Saccharomyces cerevisiae S288C: one gene and its partners. The protein of the gene in region 2 interacts with the protein of the main gene of each other region in a biochemical or structural test. Each region holds a gene or a part of one and is shown on either strand. Other genes may lie near its edges. The genes, in order: KAP120, HO and PUF4.

Region 1 (8,147 bases), on a different chromosome or scaffold from region 2:
GGCTCTTCACTTTCCTATCGTCTGATTTACCTGTGGGAGACAATCTATGTAATGGCGAACTCATCCTTTCCTGTGCTCTATAGTGCTTCTTGTTTCCCAATTCTGACGTGTTTGAACTGAAGTTCTCTTCTCGCAACTTTTTTAAGGCTTCTTCATGCTCTTTTCTTACTCTGTTTAGAGTATCGTCTTGAAACTTTTTACTGGCACTGTTTCCAAAGTTACTATAATCCATTATTCCTACAAGCCACTTTGGATCTTTGGTTAAACTTTTACAAAATTGGAAGAAGGTGATTTTATTCCGTGAGACTTGGTTTACTTCATTATATTACATGAACACTTTTCGCGTTTGTTTTTGTATTACGCAAAAAGCAAACAAAAAAAACTGCGACATCTAATTAGTAGCAAAATAAAAGTATAGAATGCGCGATCAAAAGATACCACTGTAATGTTGTTAGTCGAACTATATACAATTTTTTACTTTTATTTAGTACTTATTACTATCATGGACGAGCCTCTTGAGGCTGGATGGATAAAAACATTTGTAAGTTCTCTAGTAAACTAGGGTTAATAGTCTTCAAAAATTCTTGGTACCTTTCTACTCCTAAATGTGATTCTAGATATTCCATTGATTGGGAAATAAAATCTTTTAAACTAATGTTATGCACTGGATCATTGTTTTTGCATAATTGATGATATCTTAATTGTTCGGCAGTTAAAGGATGGAATGCAATTGATTGCTCTGTAACAATATCATTCAAGTGGTATTTTTCGCAATCCCCACGATTAGTTTCATTAATTTCTTCGAGCATTTCGATCCATAAAGATGCGATGGATGAAAACTCAGTCAAAATAGGAACTAAACCAGTCCTTAGTAAACTTGAAATACCTAATATGTGAACTTTTTTGAATTTAGGATCAAAGATATCTCTAAAACATACTATCCATCCGGTTAAAAGCTTGTTTACAACGGAATCATACGTCTGATCCTTAGACACAATTTTTCTTATTGATTCCGGCATGCGTGCATTTTCGTTAGAAGTTGGTAGATTGTCATGATATGTAGCTAAAAAAGTCATTAAGGCGTCTGGATTCACGTAGGATATTCTAGCGATGATTTGAATGATTTGCGAGCATAAATAAGATGAAGGAGCTTCTTCCAGGAAAATGGCATCGAATAATGCTGATAATACTCCGGTTTCATAGAATTTTTGCAATAACAGATTTTCGTAATCCGACTCATTGGATAATATCAAAATTTCCCAGATTTCTAAAACCAACTGAAATGAATCTTCCCTTAACTTTAAAAGATATTTAGACATTTGTTTAAAAATATCTTGAAATGTGTTGTTAGAGAAAAAATCCACAGGATTCAGAATCAGAGCATAACTTTTGATAATTTCAAGTAAAGTTGGGAGAATCTCTGTGTGTGTCTCAATACCATACTTTAGAAATGGCACCAATTCAACGAACTTATCGTCAAACTCTTGATCGTGGGATGAAAAATTTTGAAGAAGCATGCCCCATAGTTCATACCCGTCTTCGCTTAACAACTGATATTGCATAGAAGAGGGATCACAGGCTAATGCAACCACAGGTATGGCGATATCCCACGTTAAATGTGACTGTGATCCCAAAGATGATACCAAATTTCTCAATAACCTTAACAATGCGTTTGCCAAAATAGCCTCACTAGCATTATTTGTTGCTATTTCCCAAAGGTTTGGTATGATTTGCAAAATTTCGACTAATAGATCCCTGCTAATTAAAGGTTTTGTTTGAATTATGATATCGCTCAAGGTGTTTAAAACATATAGCCTTGTCTCGGTTAACGACACAGATGGTAAAATTTTCCTCAACAATAAATGAACATTTTCAGTTAAAAATGGCTGAAAAGTATCCTTGTTGAAGTTCCAGTCATCAACCATGGTTCTGACAGTCTGGACTGTGGTTAACAAAACAACTTTGTCGTCTTCATCTGTCAGGAAGTTTGTAAATAACTTGTAACATAAACTTTTAGATTCTTCCGAACACTTCACAGTAGACCATTCGTTTATAATTAAAGCAACTCTTCTTCTGATAATCCTTAATTCGTCGCCTGATATGTTTGTATTTGTAGCTTCTGGTAAAAAAACCTGAATTAGTAACCTGTCAAAATCTACCATTTCACTAACAGCGGATGCACTTAATTGGAAACTTGCATAAATTGCGTCTTTCCTTAAAAAATCGTCTAATGAGTTTGATAGCTTTGAAGCATCATTTTCAATTTTCTTTAACAGGTAGGGAACCAACAGCTCAGAGAAAGTATTCATTAAGTCTTGAAAAACGTTCTCTGCACATGGTCTGATTTGATATTCGTAACTCGTGGCCATTTGTTCGTTTATCCATTCTTCTGGATCCATAAACCAATTTTCTAATTCAGTTGGTCTTAACCTCAAGTACCATTCCATTAAAGTGTCAACCAACCTTGTTATCAAATTCTCATTCAGAAATTCTGTGTTGATTTTGTTGATAGAAGCATCTATGGTTAGTTTATCACTTCTTGCTTTTAACGTAATTGCCCCCTTTTTGTGAATGAAATTAATGACCCTTTTCAAAATTAAAAGCCCTCTAATAGCAGTCTGTTCCCAAAAGTCCCCCGTGACATCAGAATTCTCTCTATATACTTTAGGGGCCTTATCGAAAATTAGCCTAGTATAAGTGATTAGAATTTGCGTAGAGCATGGCAGTAATATGAAATTAGCCGGAGAGCCAGTGACTAAATTGAAATATAACTTTCCTAGGCATTTGATAAACTTTTCGTAAATATCAAACTTTTTGAAGTTTTCATGGTTTGAAATTAACATCTCAAAGTGTGAAACGGATAGTTTAATAAAATCGCAAACAGACTGATCGGTTTGAGGGCGGTCGTATCCTTCACAAATTATCCTTCTGAGCACTTTCAAAGCTAGGTAAGAAACTTGTAAACTGGAAAGATCCTCGTAGTTGAGATTGGAGGATGTCGTCCATTCTTCAAATGATTGTAAATAAATCCTGACAATTAGTGGTAATATCAAAGGAACTTTACTTTGCATAGCGGGTCGGCACCTTCCTATTCTCGCAGTACCTAATACTTTAACGATTTGATTTATATGCATCAATATATTGTAAATCTTAACTGAATCTTTTCTGATGATCTCATCGTTCAATAGGTTTTCTAGATCCTCAAATAAGGTTGGCCACTCTACGGGAAAATCTAGCCTTGCAATCCTTGCGGAAGCTTGGGCATTCTGAATACAAAGTTGATTATTCTGTTCATCGATCATTTCAAAAAGACGACCTCTTATCGAGGCTTTTTCATCTTTAGGTATAGCGTTAATTCTAGTGGATCTCCAGTATTTATCCACGCCGTTCTTAAATTGAATTACCGCCAACCATCTAATTTGTAAAGAATTAGATAAATTAAGGTAGATTGACTGTAATAAGTAATGAAATCCCGCTTGAGTCTCCCATTGTCTTAGTTGTTGTTCGGCTAATTTTTGAACATCTGACCTAATATGTTGTGGGTTACTTGCTTGTTCAAGTACTTGAACCAAGTTTAACTCGTTAAGAGACGAGGCCATTTTTGTTTAACGCCTTTTAAAATTTGATTCGGTTGACAGTTGAGGCAAGCTAAAAAGTTAATAGTTTATGGTGCCTCCTTTTTCTTAAACACAACACCTACCAAGAAGTTTGACAAATATTAAGCTACCCAATTGTTTGAAACTTCAATCTTCTTACATGGAAATGTACGCTATAGAAGTGTAATTCAAAAAAAAAGAGGCGGCTTATTTGGAGAGATTATTTTATTCATCTTGACTGAGGATGCTCATCAAACAAAAATCGTATGAAGAGATTTTTTGTATATTATGATAGTTCTATTAACATTAATGATTGTGAAGCTTTTTACGAAGTGTCTGTTCCTATTAACCAATGCATTCTCTTCCCTTCCCTTGTAACTAAGTTATACAGATATTTTTGCTTTCGGTTTGCTTTATAAACATATATATATATATATATATATATATACCTTTATATCTATTTTGGATATCCAATGGAAGAACCCTAAAGCTATGTTAATACTTTCATCACACGATCAAAAAATGTATCCATTTGCACGTTTTGAATGTTGTCAAACATGCTCGTAAAACTATTCATATTGACTAGCTTATCTTTCTTTTCGCCATTTATAAATTCCAAAGCGATATCTTCTTCATCTTCGTCGTTATCATTGGTATTTTTATCTCTAGTGTCACTTTTTTTGCCCCTAGACGACAGTTTATGCAATTGTTCTGCAAAAATATCGCTATTGGATGCCGAAGTTGTGATGGTGTTACTTACCAGGCCATCCAATATTCCTTCGTTATTAACTTCATCAGATAGTTGAGTATTCACAGTGGTTCCGACAACACCTAGTGTTGATTCTATGTCCAAAAATATGAAATCAGTATCATAATTCCAACCAATCCAAGATATGTATTCATGATGCGTAAAATTACCCAATTTTGTAGATAAGTCAGAATCGAATATAATAATACGGGATTTGTAATTGATAGTTGGTACGCCATCGAGATCAGTTAGTTGTTGATTTATAACCAGGGCAATGTTGCCTGTCCTTTCGTCACAAGTAATAAGCCTATCCATGTGACCATTTTTATACACTCCGTTAACAAACGGATATAAGTCAAAACTATTTATGACTTGACCCCGCAATAAGTTGATGGCGTTTAATGTAGTCCTGGTGGCCACTATTAAATTTGTGTCATTAATCAACTTGACGGTTTGGATTTCAGAGTCTAACGTGAACTCACTGACCGTCTTTGTATTTTCCAATGATTCAAACTTTTTAAAAGTGTCGAAATCTAAAATTTGCAACTTGTCATCGAAACCATGGAATATTAGAGACCCGTCTTGAGACCAAGCTAAAGAAACGGAGTTACTGAAATGATTAAAGTTTGGTAAAGAAATTTTTTTCAAGCACCAGTTGCTCTCATGAGAGTCGAAGGACCAAAATTTCAGTCCACCGTTGTTGTCAGCCGTTAAACAGCCTTGACTATTATTAACTGATCTTGGTGAAGGCAATATCTTGGTAATTGGGACACTTATCCCGTGTGGATTTATTACTTTCGTTTTCAAATTCCAATTTGTCTCATTATCGTTTTTGGTCCAAAATTTCAAGATATGAGTTAAGTCCTTGGAAGATAAGAGGTCATTTGGCGGATACTCAATTTCGTATGTAATCATCCATTGCCCATCTTTGGTGAACTTCAAATCAGTTATTATTGGGTCTTGTAAATTCAGTTCAAATCTAACTTTACCCATAGAATTGTTGACACCTGATGTTAAATACTGATAGTTAACTTGCTCATTTTTATAGAAGTCAAAAATTTGAACAGCAGAAATGTGTGGGAAATACAAGTTCTTGTTAATAGGGTTTATTTCTACATTAGTGGTGAAATCTTGTCTTCTCGATTTAATTAGTTTTCTAGATTGTTTCTTCTTAGAGTGATTGAGAGAGGTAATTGAGTTGGAGTTCTTGGTATTCATGGCCGAGATTGGTTGCTGAATGTGTTTTATGGTGCTATTGAACACCGGTAATGGCCCGTTAATCGACAATTTGGAGGTCAAATCAGAAGCATTCAAAAGTAAAAATTGGTAGTCAGAATTTGAATTGTTTTCAGTCATTTGTAGGATTAAAGAGTAGTAGTTCCCTTGAGGTCCCAATACCTGACAGTCGATTATAATACCGTTCAAACGAGGCAGGAATTGTTGAGAGTTTGTTTCCAATTGCCATAAACTCATAACTTTTTCCCAACCACCAGATAGCAAATAGGATCCATCGTGAGAGAATGAGAGTGACAGCACAGAGTCTATATGCCATTTGAGCAGTCTTATTTGTAGATCGGCCAGGCTTACGATACTTATAACTCCGGAGGCAAATCCAACAGCCAGTTGTTGACCCATATTGTCTATGGCCATGCTAGAAACGTACCTTGTGTTATAGGATAGGGATTGAGTCTGTGAAGAAAGGATGGAACCGAGGGGAAAGCTTAAATTTACAGAATCATCAAAAAGCGAAACAACTGAGATGGATTTGTGTTCGTGATCTTTTGTTGAGACGTCTTTGCACATATGCGCTAGCAGTTTACCATTGGAAGAAATATTTGACAAGATAACGTTGTGCCATTCTGCCTGATGAGCCACTTCAAATTGCTTTTTAGCATCGTCAAAGGTTAATGCATATAACCTGTACGATTGCAAAGAGTTATGTGCCTTTTGACTAGGGTCCTTGAACGTTGTCAAAATTCTATAGTTGCCCTCGCTATGGAAAACATTTGCAAGCTTTTCATCTGCCAAAGAGATTTTGAAATGCTTAGGGGACTCGACCAGCTTCCCCTTATAATTTAAAACAATTACATGACCATTATTGGTGAATACGGTAATCAGATGAGCGTCTTCTTGTTGCGGAACGGTTATATCACCCAGCAGAATCTTTACAATCGATTCATTATTCTCTTCTTCTTGCAGAAATATTCCGGATAACAAGGAGTTATTTGCAAACTTTAGAGTCTTAACACATTGTCTAGTTTCCACAGAATACACCTTGATCTGATTGTTAAAGGGTATAATATAGTTTCGTTGGTCTTGTGATAGGCGGGCGATATTCTTATTGCCGGTTACTGAACTGAGATTATTCAAAGCGGGTTTCCCACCAGATACGACTGACAGTTTATACTGTTCGATACCTAGGGATTGCGTCATTCTGGTGATCAGCTAAAATGGTTCTGGTTTGTACTTGTAGTTCCTGTGACGACAGCCAATATAACTGATATGTAAACTGTGCCAAAAATCATTTGTTCGAAAAATTTCATCTCATCTCATCGCTAGGAAAAAGAAAGGAAAATTTTTTTCTAGTTTCTCCTTCTCACATTTTACATCACTTACCACGTACCCTAAGCAGTAGGCCGCCTTAACCCTGACGTGCTATTTTGTTACCCTACTGATGTGACCGCTAGATTTTGACATGCCAAGCAATACAAATCTCCAAGAAGTTGCTGTTTGCTTTGATGAAATGCTATTCTGTGTCAAAAATGCCCCCTCCTAGGGACTTGCGTCTAGGTAAAAGCTATTCTGCACAATAACAGGTTTGATGGATGATTTTTGTTTGTTCTCTTTGGCTTTTCATTTTCGCGTCGCGTTTTCTGCTGTTGTTTGTTTTTTGTGTGGAAAAGCGGGCGGTCAAAGTTTTTTGTTTATCTGCCTTTATTTAAAGAGGAGGAGCAACTATAGATTTGGGGAGTTGTTATTTATGGGCACCTGATAATGCTTGGCAGCGAGGGAAGCAATTATAATACAACTAAAGCAACATGGCACCCAAGAAATCCACTACCAAGACCACAAGTAAGGGCAAGAAGCCTGCAACCAGCAAAGGCAAGGAGAAATCAACTTCCAAGGCCGCTATCAAGAAAACCACGGCAAAAAAGGAGGAAGCTTCCTCCAAGAGTTACAGGGAGTTGATCATTGAAGGGCTCACGGCTTTGAAGGAACGTAAGGGATCCAGTCGTCCGGCACTCAAGAAGTTTATCAAGGAAAACTACCCGATCGTCGGATCCGCAAGCAACTTTGATTTGTACTTCAACAATGCCATAAAGAAGGGTGTGGAGGCCGGCGATTTTGAACAGCCAAAGGGACCCGCTGGTGCTGTGAAACTGGCCAAGAAGAAATCTCCAGAAGTAAAGAAAGAAAAAGAGGTCAGTCCAAAACCCAAGCAAGCCGCCACTTCTGTGAGTGCAACCGCATCAAAAGCGAAAGCCGCATCCACGAAGCTAGCGCCAAAGAAAGTAGTGAAAAAAAAATCGCCTACTGTTACCGCCAAGAAGGCCTCTTCGCCTTCTTCATTGACCTACAAGGAAATGATCCTTAAAAGCATGCCTCAACTTAATGACGGTAAGGGCTCCAGCCGTATCGTTTTAAAGAAGTATGTCAAGGACACTTTCTCCTCCAAGTTGAAAACAAGCTCAAATTTTGACTATCTGTTCAATAGCGCTATCAAGAAATGTGTTGAAAACGGCGAGTTAGTGCAACCAAAGGGCCCCTCCGGCATTATTAAACTAAACAAGAAGAAGGTCAAA
Region 2 (6,935 bases):
TTCCAAGTCCAAGATTGAAGCTGCTTTGTCCGATGCTTTGGCTGCTTTGCAAATCGAAGACCCATCTGCTGATGAATTGAGAAAGGCTGAAGTTGGTTTGAAGAGAGTTGTCACCAAGGCCATGTCTTCTCGTTAAGACTGCATTCATCACATATATATGAATATTACTTATATTGTATATAAATTTTGTTTTCTCTTAACTTTGTATCCTTAATAAAATAAAATTCACAAGTATCACAATTAAAATATTTGTTTTTCTTTCGCGTAAATATTTAGCTTGATAACTGTTACTGATATGTCTGAGGAAAGTTGATCAAGACCCAATAATAATCTATATACTGGTTGAAACAAATCAGTGCCGGTAACGCTTTTTGTATCTTGAGATGGCGTATTTCTACTCCAGCATTCTAGTTAAGAAAAAGTCTAAAAATGGTTTTTTTCATCCAAAATATTAAATTTTACTTTTATTACATACAACTTTTTAAACTAATATACACATTTTAGCAGATGCGCGCACCTGCGTTGTTACCACAACTCTTATGAGGCCCGCGGACAGCATCAAACTGTAAGATTCCGCCACATTTTATACACTCTGGTCCTTTAACTGGCAAACCTTCGGGCGTAATGCCCAATTTTTCGCCTTTGTCTTTTGCCTTTTTCACTTCACGTGCTTCTGGTACATACTTGCAATTTATACAGTGATGACCGCTGAATTTGTATCTTCCATAGCATCTAGCACATACTCGATTTTTACCACTCCAATCTTTATAAAAATACTTGATTCCCTTTCTGGGACAAGCAACACAGTGTTTTAGATTCTTTTTTTGTGATATTTTAAGCTGTTCTCCCACACAGCAGCCTCGACATGATTTCACTTCTATTTTGTTGCCAAGCAAGAAATTTTTATGGCCTTCTATCGTAAGCCCATATACAGTACTCTCACCCTGGAAATCATCCGTGAAGCTGAAATATACGGGTTCCCTTTTTATAATTGGCGGAACTTCTCTTGTTTTGTGACCACTTCGACAATATGACAAAACATTCTGTGAAGTTGTTCCCCCAGCAACATTACAGTCGTATGTAAATTGACATTGGACTTTTCTTCCTTCAATGATTTCCTCCCTAGCTGACCTGGTCGTCACAGTAGCTGACATACCAAGAGATCTTGAAATATGGACAATTCCGTCCATAATGGATGAATAAACAGTTTGAATTGCTATTTTATAAGATTCAGGGCCTTCGCCCTTTTTCACAACGTACCCATCTGAGTCGATCAAGCCGGCTAAGAATGCTTCACGAACTTCTATATGCTCGCCGTACATAAATTCAGGGATTTGCTTCTCTCCATCAAGATCCCTTTTAAACTTTAAAATTGTGACAGCTTTCCAGAATGGATTATTTTTCCTCAAATTCCTTGTCTTCCTGTTTTCATCTGGACCATCTCCATAATGAAGCCTTACATGTTTGGCACGTAGCGGAACGTGATCGTCACAAACCGTAAGGTAGAGACCCCAGATTTTCGCATTTTCTCTTAAACTCTCCATTAGCTTAGGATCCAAGCTATCTACTGAGATTTCTGGCTCTTTTGTTGTACTGTCACCTAACCACAGACCAAGCATCCAAGCCATACTTTTTACAGCAGGAGTTACAAGGTCACTACGTCCAGTGAGAAATTTAGATAAAACACCATTTCCTGCGAGTACTGGACCAAATCTTATGCAGCTAGAAATTCTCAATTGAGCATCAAGATAATCCAAATCTCTAACTTCAATGTCAAAGTTGAAATATTCTCCTTTAGAGCGCTCCATTTCTTCTATGAAGCGTTTTGCGGCAAACTCACCTTCAACTGTCATTGGGAATGTCTTATGATGGTTTTTTGGAATTATTATTATCCTACCATCAAGCGTCTGACATTGCTGCAGATTTCTCCATCTCACTTTATATTTGGTGGCATTTCTACCACTTTTTTCCAACAGTGGTTTGGTAGGGACCCTGACTGACAATTTATGACCTGCAGTACATTGTAATGCAAGACGCTGATAAACTGTTCTACGCCTGGGATCTAACCTACCAGGTTCACCTTCAAAAGCTCTGTGTTTGGTTTTTTGCTGTATATTATAGATTTTCTGATAGCCCTGTGTGACATTTATGACGCGGGCAGCGGAGCCATCTGCGCACATAACGTAAGAGTTAGCCGTGACGTTTGCGATGTCTTTAATTTCACCGTTAGCCATCAGAATAGTCGTGTTTTCAGAAAGCATTTTAAAGTATAGATAGAATTGATTGCTGCTTATGAGGATATGGATTTAGAGCTAATAGTTGTAATAGAAATAAAAGCCATTTAGAATAGGAATTGAATACAATTTTATGAGCTTTAAATATTTAATGATGAATAGTGCGTTTAGAACGCTTCATCATGCTTCAACAAGCTTCTGCAAACCTCATTTGAGTAGCAATAGCTGTTTACTTTTTTCCGCGACTTTATTCGAAGTTATGGTGAACTTTTCGTGGTTTCACACCTAATAACGCCCAGCGGTAGTACAATTCAAAGTAGTAGGTACCAATGGTAGTACTAGTGGGTGATAGTAGCAAATTTCTCTATGAAAATGAATTGTTGCTCTGCAATGATGTTAATGTGGACATGACATGAATTTTCGCGATATGTTGATGTAAATAATAACATGATTTTCGTGGATCATTTCGTAAACCATAGGTTTATTTCGTGAATTACTAAGAGAAAGGCATAGAAACAGGACTTGCGAACCCTTTCTGTAATATGTCATAATATTTCAATACACGCACAAAAAAGGTACGTTAATTTCCATGGTAATCGTGTATTTAGTTACATCACTTTTCGTGACACACATGAATACATTTGCCCTTAAGCCCTGTGTAGGATTGATTTCTTTTTTCGTGACGCACATGTCTTCAACTGCATCAATTTCCATGAGACACACACGTCTACCATGTTGTCAGATCTCATGAATCTTTCATGTATTCATTCACATCATTTTCGTGGATCCTCTAATTGTATCGAGATCACTTTTCGTGATCCGCTAATCAGCGACGGTCACATTAGGTTTGCCAAGTCAGGGTATGAACCATACGATCAGTTTTCGTGAACCTGGTACGTATATTGTGGCGTTTGTGTATATTTTCATTCTTTGACAACAATCAATACCAACCTCAAATAGGAAAAGTAATAAGTTTGGCGTTACACCCCAAAAGACGCCAAACGGATCGAACTTACTCAATAGCAATTAGCGAGACAAAACCTACGTTAAGACCTGTAACCGATTTATCAAAGCACTCTGCGGTTCTTTCTTGGGAATATTACCTGGACATTTTGTGCCCTCAAGAAACGAGGCTCTACGAGCCTGTTGGAGCCCCTCAGACATTAGCCGCCACGAATCAAACTTTTTACGCGATTCGGCCCAAATCAGTTTCTCACAGATCATTCGTAGAGTGAAAAAGCACATCGATTATTTGATACCCCTTTGGGTTAATTACTGTTGAGGTCTTTTCTATTTCTGATTGAAATTTTTGCTCCAGCATTATAGCATGCTGGTTTTTTTTTTAAATTGATGTATCTCATCGCAGGCACGGGCAGTACAGTGCCCTGAGCGTAGGGAAAAATGAAAAAAAGGATGTAACTTTTAACATAATTCCAGCACGCAGCGATTGGGTATAATGAAGATTGTTAAGTTCAACAACATGTGAAATTCTTAGCTCCGCAACTTGCTTGAATTATGAGCTCTAAGATTCAAGAAGTAAATAGGTCATATAATGGAATGATAGTAGTACTTGATAAAGGAACCATGTGATCTTACGTTGATATGAAAATAATTCTCTCACAGAAGTCAGTTTGTATGACTAACATAGAGAGTAATTGCTTTTCGGATAAAATCGCACCTAACAAAGATTACCTTTTGTAAAGCCTCCAGAACAGCTATGAATGTTCGTTATTCTACGCACTTTCTTTCATACATCTTGATCCGCCTTTTTTGATGTAGGTTTTAACGCGGCAAAACATATTAATTTTTCTGATTTGGAAAAATAAAGAGTTAGTTCTGCCACGCCATTTTAAGTCCAAAGGCACAATTTTACGTTGGAACTAAACGGTAAAGATCAAATATCACCTTTATTCTTTTTTGGTATGCATCGATTTCTTTGCCAGTAAGAACTACGTGCAACTCTACATTAGATCAAAATATAACGGATCATAAATGCAAACAACATTTGTCCAAAAGAAACAAAAATGTTGGCGTTTGTCTCGAACATGACACAATACTCCTTGATCGAGGGACATTGCCCGATTAACTATGATTTATACTTTTTACTACAGGTACTCGTTCTCCCTACTATTTCACCAGTATACGGTCGTTTTATGATTCATTTATTGCCTATAATGGTAAAAAGGGACATCTTAACCTTACGTGTTGCAATGAGACCATTCTTTTCGATTCATCAACTGTGAAATTTCTGAAATCCAGTACAATGCGAAACGCTACCGATAATGGCACCGTCTTTTGAATTATGAGGCCCAGATATGGCGTTCAATCTTCAACAAAAAAATGAATATCAAAACTAAATTCTATCTGGATAACAATCTTTCTTTGGTTTGCAGAAATATCATTAAAAAACAATCCATAACTACTAAGGAAGGGTATAAATGGTTTGGTTTACTAATTTTATATTTTGATTTGATTAGCAATTATAATCTCTAATATACTATTTCTGTAGCCAAAAATCTGCAATGTCAATAAGTAGCAAGTGCCGCTTACTCGTGAGAATATCAACCTTATAGCATATGTTTTCTATTTTTTTTTTTTGCTTATGGAGATAATGAACATTGTACACATGAACAAAGTGGTAGTTCTCTCTCCTTGATTTTTTGTGCTTGCGATATATATAATTGTTACATTCAATGGCCATGCTAAATAAAGGTTTTAGCTTTGTTTCACTCGTGCCCAGGATAATTTTAAGGCGCAAACATCCAAATAATGAAGAAAAGGATAACGATTGTCCCAGGTCTAAAACATTTTTTAATAATAGCCGTCATTAGCCTTGCAACAGTACAACAACGCCGATGGGAAAGGATTGCAATTCTATTTGTAATTAATAGGTTGTATAATAATTTACGATATGGCCTTGTGGTAACTATTTATGAATACTGGTGTAGACTTATTTATAATCCTAGAGAGTAAACCTCTTCTTGTCAAGATATGAAAAATACAAATTTAGAGACAGAAGTATTACGTGTAAACTTTACAGAACCACTTCTCCATTATAGCTACAATGTGAATTGAACTTTCCTTGAATGTTGAGAAAAACTATATTAAAATTAGAAATCGTCCCATTTGTCCTCGTCCTGTTCATTCTTCTTATCGTTATTATCAATCTTTTGATATTCTGTATGGGTTGTATTCCCTGCTGTAGAGCTATCCTCTGCATTACCATTGAAATTTTTAGTGAAGTTACTAAATGCTTGGAATCCATAACTACTCGTTTCTTGAAACTTTTGGCCAAACTGGGCAGCTGCTCTCTTCGTTTCTTCTGACAACTCTCCGGATTGCCATTGCTGGACGTGAGGCTTAATAACCGTTTCGTTTACGTCCTCGAACGATTTGGTTACAGCGCTGGAGAAGAGGCCCCATCCTCTGCTCAATGTTCCCAAAGGATCAGCTTGAAAATTTTCCAGGCTCAAAGTATTGCTGGACCCTGCAGACCGTTCTTGTGGAGGTTTTGCGGGTGTACTTCCAAAGCCCTGATATTTACCACCTTGAGAAGGGGGCAAATGATCTGGTCTAGATTGGTTCTTCTTGCCCAGCTCAGCAAAATAAGCTTCGTTCTTCTCCTTTTGAAAATTGGCACCATTACTAGAGTTTGCTGGTGTTGCAGATCGACGGTTCTCCAGTGGTGTCCCTTCTCGACTTTGAGCAACACCAGGCGTAGCGGATGCAGCGGTTTGAGAGGTTGCTGATAACTTGGAAGCATCAAAATCCAAATGCTCACGCTCTTCAAATACTCTATCTTCGCAAAGACATGTTAACTTTTCTTTATAATCCTCTGCGACGGGGTTATCGTATTTCACTTTTTGTGGTAAACTCAGGTCAATATTATGCGACTTGAACCATTCAGTCAAAGGTTCGTTACCACCTTTTTCCATACGAAGAAGTTCCTCCGGTTTAAACTGATCCATAGTGATAGATCTTACAAAAGATATATGCACACCAAGCCCTCTATGGATACCGGCACATTCAAGGCAAATGAAAGCTCCAAACTTAGGCGTGGCCCATTGTGGATTTGGCGCACCACAATCCATACATTTCTTATTTGCACCAATCTTTTGCAATTGCAAAAGACGCCTGCGGGTATCTGGGTCCACTTTCCAATCTGACATGCTCTATAATCCGCGATAAAATTGCTCAATTGGCACCATTTAAACTCAGAATCACGTCCATATTTCTGCTTTCATTCTTGATATAGTTGTGCAATTTGGTTCTTGACAAAAACTGGCGTTGCTTGCGGGTAACCGCGCGATTTTTAAAGTGCCAAACTGCGAAAAGAATATAACAAGCTTTCGAGCAAGATCAATGTACCCAGCAAGTGAAATAATAAAACAAGAGCCCCAAAGATCTGCTTATAATTGCTAGAAAAATATATTATTAATCATGAGCACTGCTTCAACACCGCCAATTAACTTATTTCGTAGAAAGAAAGAACATAAACGTGGGATCACATACACAATGTTACTATGTGGGCCAGCAGGTACAGGAAAGACCGCCTTTGCTAACAATCTATTGGAAACTAAGATCTTTCCGCATAAGTATCAATACGGTAAATCAAATGCTAGTATTAGCTCTAACCCAGAAGTAAAAGTTATTGCTCCGACAAAAGTTGTTTCATTTAATTCGAAAAATGGGATTCCATCT
Region 3 (8,015 bases), on a different chromosome or scaffold from region 2:
TGCTATTTTGGCTATCGGAAATATACGGTTTTGAAAAAGTCTTGAACGTAGCAGTTCATTTTGTTTCAAGAGTTGGTTTATCAAGGTGGGAATTTTACGTGGGTCTTGATGAAAACTTTGCTGAAAGAAGAAGAAATCTCTGGTGGAAAGCTTTCTATTTCGAGAAAACTTTAGCCTCTAAACTTGGCTATCCTTCGAACATTGATGACTCCAAAATCAATTGTTTATTACCTAAGAATTTTCGAGATGTTGGGTTCTTGGATAATAGAGATTTTATCGAGAACGTCCACTTAGTTCGCAGGAGCGAAGCTTTTGACAACATGTGCATATCCGACTTAAAATACTATGGCGAATTAGCTGTCTTACAAATAGTCAGCCATTTCTCATCATCTGTTTTATTCAATGAAAAATTCACGTCAATTAGGAATACATCAAAACCATCTGTTGTTAGAGAGAAACTACTCTTCGAGGTACTCGAGATTTTTAACGAAACAGAAATGAAATATGATGCTATCAAAGAGCAAACTGGAAAATTGTTCGATATTGCATTCTCTAAAGATAGTACTGAACTCAAAGTTTCAAGAGAGGATAAGATTATGGCTTCAAAATTTGTTCTATTTTACGAGCACCATTTCTGCAGAATGGTTAACGAATCTGATAATATTGTCGCCAGATTATGCGTGCACAGAAGGCCCTCAATACTAATTGAAAACTTGAAAATATACCTTCACAAGATTTACAAATCATGGACCGATATGAACAAAATCTTATTAGACTTTGACAACGATTATTCCGTATACCGTTCGTTCGCCCATTATTCTATCAGTTGCATTATTTTGGTATCACAAGCATTCTCAGTGGCCGAATTCATTAAAGTAAATGACGTTGTGAATATGATTAGAGTCTTCAAAAGATTTTTGGATATAAAAATTTTTTCCGAAAATGAGACCAATGAGCATGTCTTCAACAGCCAAAGCTTTAAAGACTATACAAGAGCTTTTTCTTTCCTGACAATCGTCACTCGTATCATGCTTTTGGCATACGGAGAGTCCTCTAGCACCAACCTCGATGTTATCTCCAAATATATTGATGAGAATGCGCCAGATTTAAAAGGTATAATAGAACTTGTCTTGGATACAAACTCTTGCGCTTATCGATTTTTATTAGAACCTGTTCAGAAGTCAGGATTCCATTTAACGGTCTCACAAATGTTGAAAAATAGAAAGTTTCAGGAACCACTAATGTCAAATGAAGATAATAAGCAGATGAAGCATAATTCGGGAAAAAATTTGAATCCGGATCTCCCAAGTCTTAAGACGGGCACTTCATGCTTACTAAATGGCATTGAATCGCCTCAATTGCCATTCAATGGTCGCTCAGCACCTTCCCCAGTGAGAAACAACTCACTACCGGAGTTTGCACAATTGCCTTCATTTAGGTCATTATCCGTGTCTGATATGATCAATCCCGATTACGCGCAACCAACAAATGGGCAAAATAATACGCAAGTCCAATCTAATAAACCAATCAATGCTCAGCAGCAAATACCCACTTCAGTACAAGTACCATTTATGAACACAAATGAAATCAATAACAACAACAACAACAACAACAACAATAAAAACAATATTAACAATATTAACAACAACAACAGTAACAATTTTTCTGCAACTAGTTTTAATTTGGGGACACTAGATGAATTTGTTAATAACGGTGATCTTGAGGACCTCTACAGTATCCTGTGGAGCGACGTTTATCCAGATAGTTAAACGTATACGTTTGTATAGATAAAAGTTCTCAAAAACTTCCTTCCTTTTTTTTTTCTTTTGAGTTTACTTATTTAAATAAGAACATTCTGTTTTCTAGGGCATCTCCTTCTCTTATTTCTTCAACACTATTTACCAGTATACCATAAAGTGAAAATTCCTATTTTTTTTGCTTTGGATATTCATTTGATCCTCAACGAAAAAAAAAATGATGTATTTTAGTATTGTACAAAAGATATTATATGAGGCTAACGTAAAAAAAGCTAAACTGAGGATATATGTATCAACTATGAATCTAAATGTAACATTCCGATGATTCTTTTACCATGAGGTGTATTTCTTATGGGGCCCACCAGTAAAGGCGCCACAATCTCTGATAGTCTTTTATAGAGATAGTCATTTTGCTTATGAGAAATGTCTAATGCTGTCTGTAAAACGTAATTTCCGTAGCTATCATTCAACAATGATTGAATACCCGTCTCGCCACCATTATTTAAAATTTCCAGAATCATTGGCTCCGAAACAATAGCTGTCTTCAAGATTTTTTCAATCACATTTGATCCAAATTTATGGATAGAAAGTTCGATGGCTCTTGGTTTCAACAGGTGGACAATTTTATGCGTATAATCATATTTGTTCTTCTCAGCCTCTTTGGTAATTATATATTGCACCACATAGTTGCCAAATGGATCCAAAGTTAATTTATCAACAAGGGCTAGCAACTTATCACACAGATTGTCACATTGTTCTGTAGTCCCATGATCTAGACAACGTTGCAAAACGCAACACCCGTGTCTATGAGTAGCAATATCAATACAGCTATCAGAGATTGCGTCAAAGATAAACTGGAAGTTTTCAGGCTTCAACCTTTGCAAACATTTTTGAATAACATGATTACCATTTAAATCCTTACTCAACTGGACAGTATAAGGGCGTAAAGAATCAACAACAATCTGTGCTTCTTCATCTGTTTTGATGCATTCAATGAGTTTTTGTAATGCCCTAGTACCATGAGGGTTTAAGGAAATTTCGACAAAATGAGGGGAAGATATTTTTGTGAGTACGATTCTTTGTTCTGTGGTAACCTCTTCCAATAGCTTCTGGATCAAATAATTACCGAATGAATCAGTCATCAATTCAACCGTATAATCCTTAGTTTCTTCAAAAATTGCGTCCGCCGCCTTACTGCCGAGAATATCCAACTGCTTTTGCAGAAAACGACAACCATGTTGGTCTTTACACAATGAGTGAATACTTCCGATATATTGGTCTAAAACTGCGTCCGCAAATCTCGACGACTCCTCAATTTTACGTTGTTTTTCCGCGCTGTTGCTGTTGGTAGCATTACTGTTATTATTATTATTGTTATTATTATTATTATTATTATTGTTATTATAGTAGCCATGATAACTGTTTTTCATATTTTTCATTTTACCAACGTTAGAACGACCTGTGTCTTTATTGTTGTAATTAGAATTACCAATGTTGTCATTGTCATTATGACTTGACATGCTATTGTTATTACGACCATGATGTTTATTATTGGCGCTATTCATTAACGGCATATGATTTTGAGCCAACAAATGAGGCGGAACCATTGCGTTGAAGGGAGGTGGAGTGCTATAAAGCCAGGGAGGAGGGGGGGTGTTTTGCTGGGGAGGTAATATGTGGAAAGGTTGCATTGATGGCCCAAGATTAGGATTTATTAAATCCATCCTAACATTTGGACCCGCCTTGTCGTTATCGGTGGTGGGCTTACCACCATCATTCTTCATATCTGAAAAGGCAACAGAATTTGAACTAGGGTTTAAAACTGGTGCAAGATGAATTGGCGATTGGGTTAGAGGAATTGGAGAATTTGCATTTAGTGAATGACTCGTAGGATTTAAAATCGGAGAGAAAGGTTGAAATTGCGCGCCCATTTCATAAGAATTAGGAAAAGGTGATCTAATACCATAGATAGGGGAGGATATATTATGTGGGTGGCCTGGCATAATAGGATTTGGTTGAAGTAAAGGTCCCCCATATGGATATGCTGCACCATAAGTTGTAGGACTCTCTTTTTTAGCTGGTGCAGTTTTATTAATCAAATCCTCCTTCGAGGTTTCTATTTTGAAATCGGATAATTTCTCAGAAACACTATTGGTTGGGGGTATAAATGACGTTGAGGAGGGAGTATTATCAAAAGATATGGATTGAGTTCTGGTTTTTGCAGTATTGTTAGCTCCTACAGACGGTTTCTTAGCCTTAGAAAAATTCTGCATGTCAGATTGGAAGTCCTTTGACAAGGTTACATTGTTGGCCGCATTGATAAGGTCAGTTGGTGATAAAGCATGAAAAGTTTGTCTTCTGAACGAACTAGCCTTATTATTAGACTCCCTGCCCTTAGATGGTAGGCTTTCTTGTAGAGTAGCGGTGGTTTCTTCAATGGCTACAGATGCTGATCCTGGTACGTTTGAATGAGTCCATAACGGATCAGCCGATGCGATTGGCAATACCTTCATTGAATTGTCATTTATCAATGGGTTTAGATTTTGTCCACCTTGAGTTGCTACCGCAGCACCCGAAGACAGCATTTGAAATGGAAGTGAGTCATTCTTGAATAACATTGGTGGACCGCCTGCATTCAAGGGCGAGCTACTCAATGGTGCTGTTGGATCATTAAAATCAGGGGGCGGAAAAAATGGACAAGGATTATGAGGAACCTGCATCATTTGAGAGTAGGGCATGAAGCCCATTCCACCCATCATTTGTGGATGTGGAAACATTTGCGACGGAGGGCCATTAGCGAATTGAGAATCTTGAGAAACTTTATTCGCAAATGCATTAGAGGTGGCGTTTTCCTCTGGATCATCTAGTTGCAACTGCTCTAAAGCAGAATTGACTGTTTCTGAAACGACAGGGTCTACTGATGGTACATCATCGATTTCTTCTTTCAAACCTTTTGTAGACATAACGTAGGTCCACTTAAAAATGTTACAGCGCTTAGTTCTCTCTTTCTTAAAAGATATCGAGGACAAAGAAACAGTAAGAACGGAAAATGAACAGAGACTCTTAAAAGAACCTAAAGAATAAGCGAAAATAAAATATGAAAAGAGAACTAGTGGACAATATCAACAGGAATTTTAAGTGTACTAAAAATAAATCGTCTGGAATAGTGTACAAAAACGAATAATATTAATGACGGCTCAAATCCTAACGTTGGAAACTAAAATACAATAAAAATAATGTACAATGTAATATACGGAAGAAAGTTTTTTTTCTGTTTCAACAAAAAAAAAAACTATTCAAAAAAAAGACGTGAGGTACTGTTTGCTGTTCACCTTCGGAGAGAGATAACCAACCGATATTCTCTTTGAGTCTGAGTGATTTGTTAAACAAGGTGCAACGAATAAGAATATAACTATACTATCTACTATATTGATCATTATTTTTTATTCTCTGGAGGACCCCAGAACAAAAAAAATATAGAAAAAAAACAATCGTCAAGAGTGACAAATACATGAGTAATAAGAAAAGGCGTCACAAATTAAAATTTGCAGTCACAAAGAGAAATAGACAGAGAATAGACTGTCTGGAATTAAGATGTCTTTTCTATCTGAGCTCCCAACAAGGCAACGGTATTGGACAGATATAATTCACAAATCACAATTCACTCCATGGAAGACACGATACGTCCATTAAATTACGCAGATATCGAGACCAGCGGGCCCATAAACCTTCTTGAGACAACTAATAACCTAAAAAGCTCGTTAAAAAAGTTTTCACAAAAGGCAAAGGGATCACACATTTCCAGAGAAAGGATTCACCATTTTAGAAAATGGAAAAATAAGACCGAATCACTTTCAGAAAACCATTTGAAGCCTCCTCCTGACGTCGACTCTCTATGTTTCAGTAACTGCTTTCAACCTGACGCCCTGTCTGGAAATGTATTTTTACCCCCCAGAAGCTCAAACATGTATTGGAATGAAAAGCAATTACAATTAGAAATGGAAATTCTAAAATTTTTATCACTAAATACTAGCAATGAATGCTGCACTTCTGATGATTAGCTTTTACACACATATATACTGCTACTATCTTTAAAGCACAAAAAAAAAATCTATCAAAAAGGATCAACGCATTACTAAATAAAATGTAACAAAGAATAGCCTTCACCCTCAGCGGAGAAATTCTTAACAAATCATCCTTGGTAATTTGGAAGTGTGGTACAATCCAACCACCACTGCAAAATAACATTTCCAGCTGCTCTGCTTCCTCTCGTAATAAGTAATTTATTAATAAATTTTTCATGACCTGCAGGATTGTTACATATTTGGGGCAAAACAGCAACGAGCCACTCTCTTGCTTCAATTGGAAACTTGGCTACCAAAGCTCTTAGCAGATCTGTGTAACTATTCAGATCGGACCTTTGTGTGTGGAATAAGCCATACATAATTTGGTACACAAGGTCTCCTCCTATAGAGGAAACTTGTTGCCTAACAGTTGTGAGTTCTTCTTGGTTGTATTTCTTATTATTGATCAACTTAGTCCAAAATTTTGCCACCGCAACAATTGTGAACTTTTCTCTTGAAGGTATTAATTTTAAAAATTGAGGTAAAATAAATGATGTCCAATGTTTACTGCCAATAGCTAAGCCTGGCTTCACGTCCAAAACGTTATTAACAAAACCTATTGTCATTTGTAAAAGGTCCGGATCATTGATAATATATGCATCATAATAGACTAGAAGGATCTTTTCAAACATGAAATCAAATTCTTGTGGTGTTAGTTCCTTCCTGAACTCTGAAATAAGCTTTTCTAATAAATAAACAAAATAAGGCAAGCAAGTAGCAAGCTCACAGTTGGGGACATGCCGCAAAACAAAATTCATAACTTCAGACATATTGTACTTGAGGAAGTACGGTTCCCCGTCGGGCAGATTTAATCCTTTACCAACAATCAAACAACCGATCTCCACAAAGGCGGAGTTTTTACAATATATTGAATTATCCAAGACCTTATCAATGGTGCACATAATTTTCGATCGGATTTGTAAGGGATCGCTGGACCAGAAACTTTGAAACTCAGATAACCTTTGTAGTAATGCATCATTTTCGATGATTTCAGTAGGTTGGATCAAACTTGTTGCTAGCTCAGATATACAGTATAATAGACAATTAATATAATCTTGTTGTTCTTGTAACTGTACCGATGAAGCCAAACAATGCTCTATTGAGCCGCTCAATAGGTTCGTCAATTGTAAAATATATTTAGCTTGCTCCTCTGGACCGTTGGAGACTTGACATTGAACGACATAACCTATAGATCTAACCAATTTAGTTCTAGTGAAATGTGAAACATTGGAGTCTGGCATAATGACTGTGTTTAAAAAGCTTATAAAATGCATCAAATATGGAGTCAACTCCTCACGGCATGTCTCACATAATGTTGAAACAGTCTTGATAACCATAACTTCAAGTTTATCGTTCGAAATTTTTTCTTGTTCGTTTTTACTAGTAAAATTGGTGCAAGTGTGCAAACCTTGAAATAAAGCTTCCACGTATGGGTTTAATTGAAAAGGTTCCTGTTTAAAATAACCAGCCAAAGTGCCGATTAAAGTTGTACTTGTTCTTACGAAGTCAAGTTTCAAAATTTGACTGACTTTTGTACTGGCACTAGTTTGGAAACCAGTTTGGAAGACGGATATGACATTTTGGTTGAAGAATTTGTTGGCATCAACGATATTTTTAATCCATGGGCTTTCTGATAGAGTCATATCAACCAATATAGTATTCAAAACAAAACACATCGTTTCAATTCGAAACAAAACATCAGTATCCTTGATGATGAGAGTCTCATCACTCGCAGCAGGCATTTGGCCCATACCATCAATTAGCACATTTGTTAAATTATCGTTTCCCAAAATAGACCAGAGAGATTGAGCAAGGTCACTGACAGCGTTTCTAAAATCTTCAAATTCGTTCACAGAAGTGCTCTCACCCTCTTCTTCAATTATTCTTTGTTTCACACTCAAAGAAATTTTGGGTAAATAAATATTGATCAACTGCTGAAAAATTTGTGTAGACAGCTCAATAGAATTTGGCCTCAAAGTTTCGCTAGCCAAATTAGTGTAAGCATCCGATAAATCCAACCAAAAATCAACCATTCTAACAGAAAAGAACTCTTGTAAGACAGGAGTTAAAGGGAAATTGGTCATTTGCAAAAGGACTTTGATGTATTCCTGAATATATTCATCTTGAACTTGAC

Evidence for each region.
Region 1: the proteins of HO (region 2) and KAP120 form a complex in vitro, tested with the Saccharomyces cerevisiae proteins (one study listed by BioGRID).
Region 3: the proteins of HO (region 2) and PUF4 are reported together in a solved structure, tested with the Saccharomyces cerevisiae proteins (one study listed by BioGRID).

The regions. Positions count from the first base shown.
Region 1 is NC_001148.4:308,840-316,986, reverse strand, and holds KAP120 (karyopherin KAP120), read right to left. Parts: upstream 3,600-8,147; coding exon 501-3,599; downstream 1-500. Other genes in the region: SPC29 (Spc29p), read right to left, coding at 1-232; NAN1 (Nan1p), read right to left, coding at 4,087-6,777; HHO1 (histone H1), read left to right, coding at 7,383-8,147. UniProt on the Saccharomyces cerevisiae protein: Functions in nuclear protein import as nuclear transport receptor. Serves as receptor for nuclear localization signals (NLS) in cargo substrates.
Region 2 is NC_001136.10:45,771-52,705, forward strand, and holds HO (Hop), read right to left. Parts: upstream 2,262-6,935; coding exon 501-2,261; downstream 1-500. Other genes in the region: Hsp70 family ATPase SSB1, read left to right, coding at 1-136; GTPase-activating protein GCS1, read right to left, coding at 5,345-6,403; septin SHS1, read left to right, coding at 6,675-6,935. UniProt on the Saccharomyces cerevisiae protein: Initiation of mating type interconversion. This protein is a site-specific endonuclease that cleaves a site in the mat locus on chromosome III.
Region 3 is NC_001139.9:462,846-470,860, reverse strand, and holds PUF4 (Puf4p), read right to left. Parts: upstream 4,721-8,015; coding exon 2,054-4,720; downstream 1-2,053. Other genes in the region: drug-responsive transcription factor PDR1, read left to right, coding at 1-1,769; BIL2 (Bil2p), read left to right, coding at 5,426-5,818; KAP122 (Kap122p), read right to left, coding at 5,950-8,015. UniProt on the Saccharomyces cerevisiae protein: Is not essential for haploid growth, but may affect diploid formation.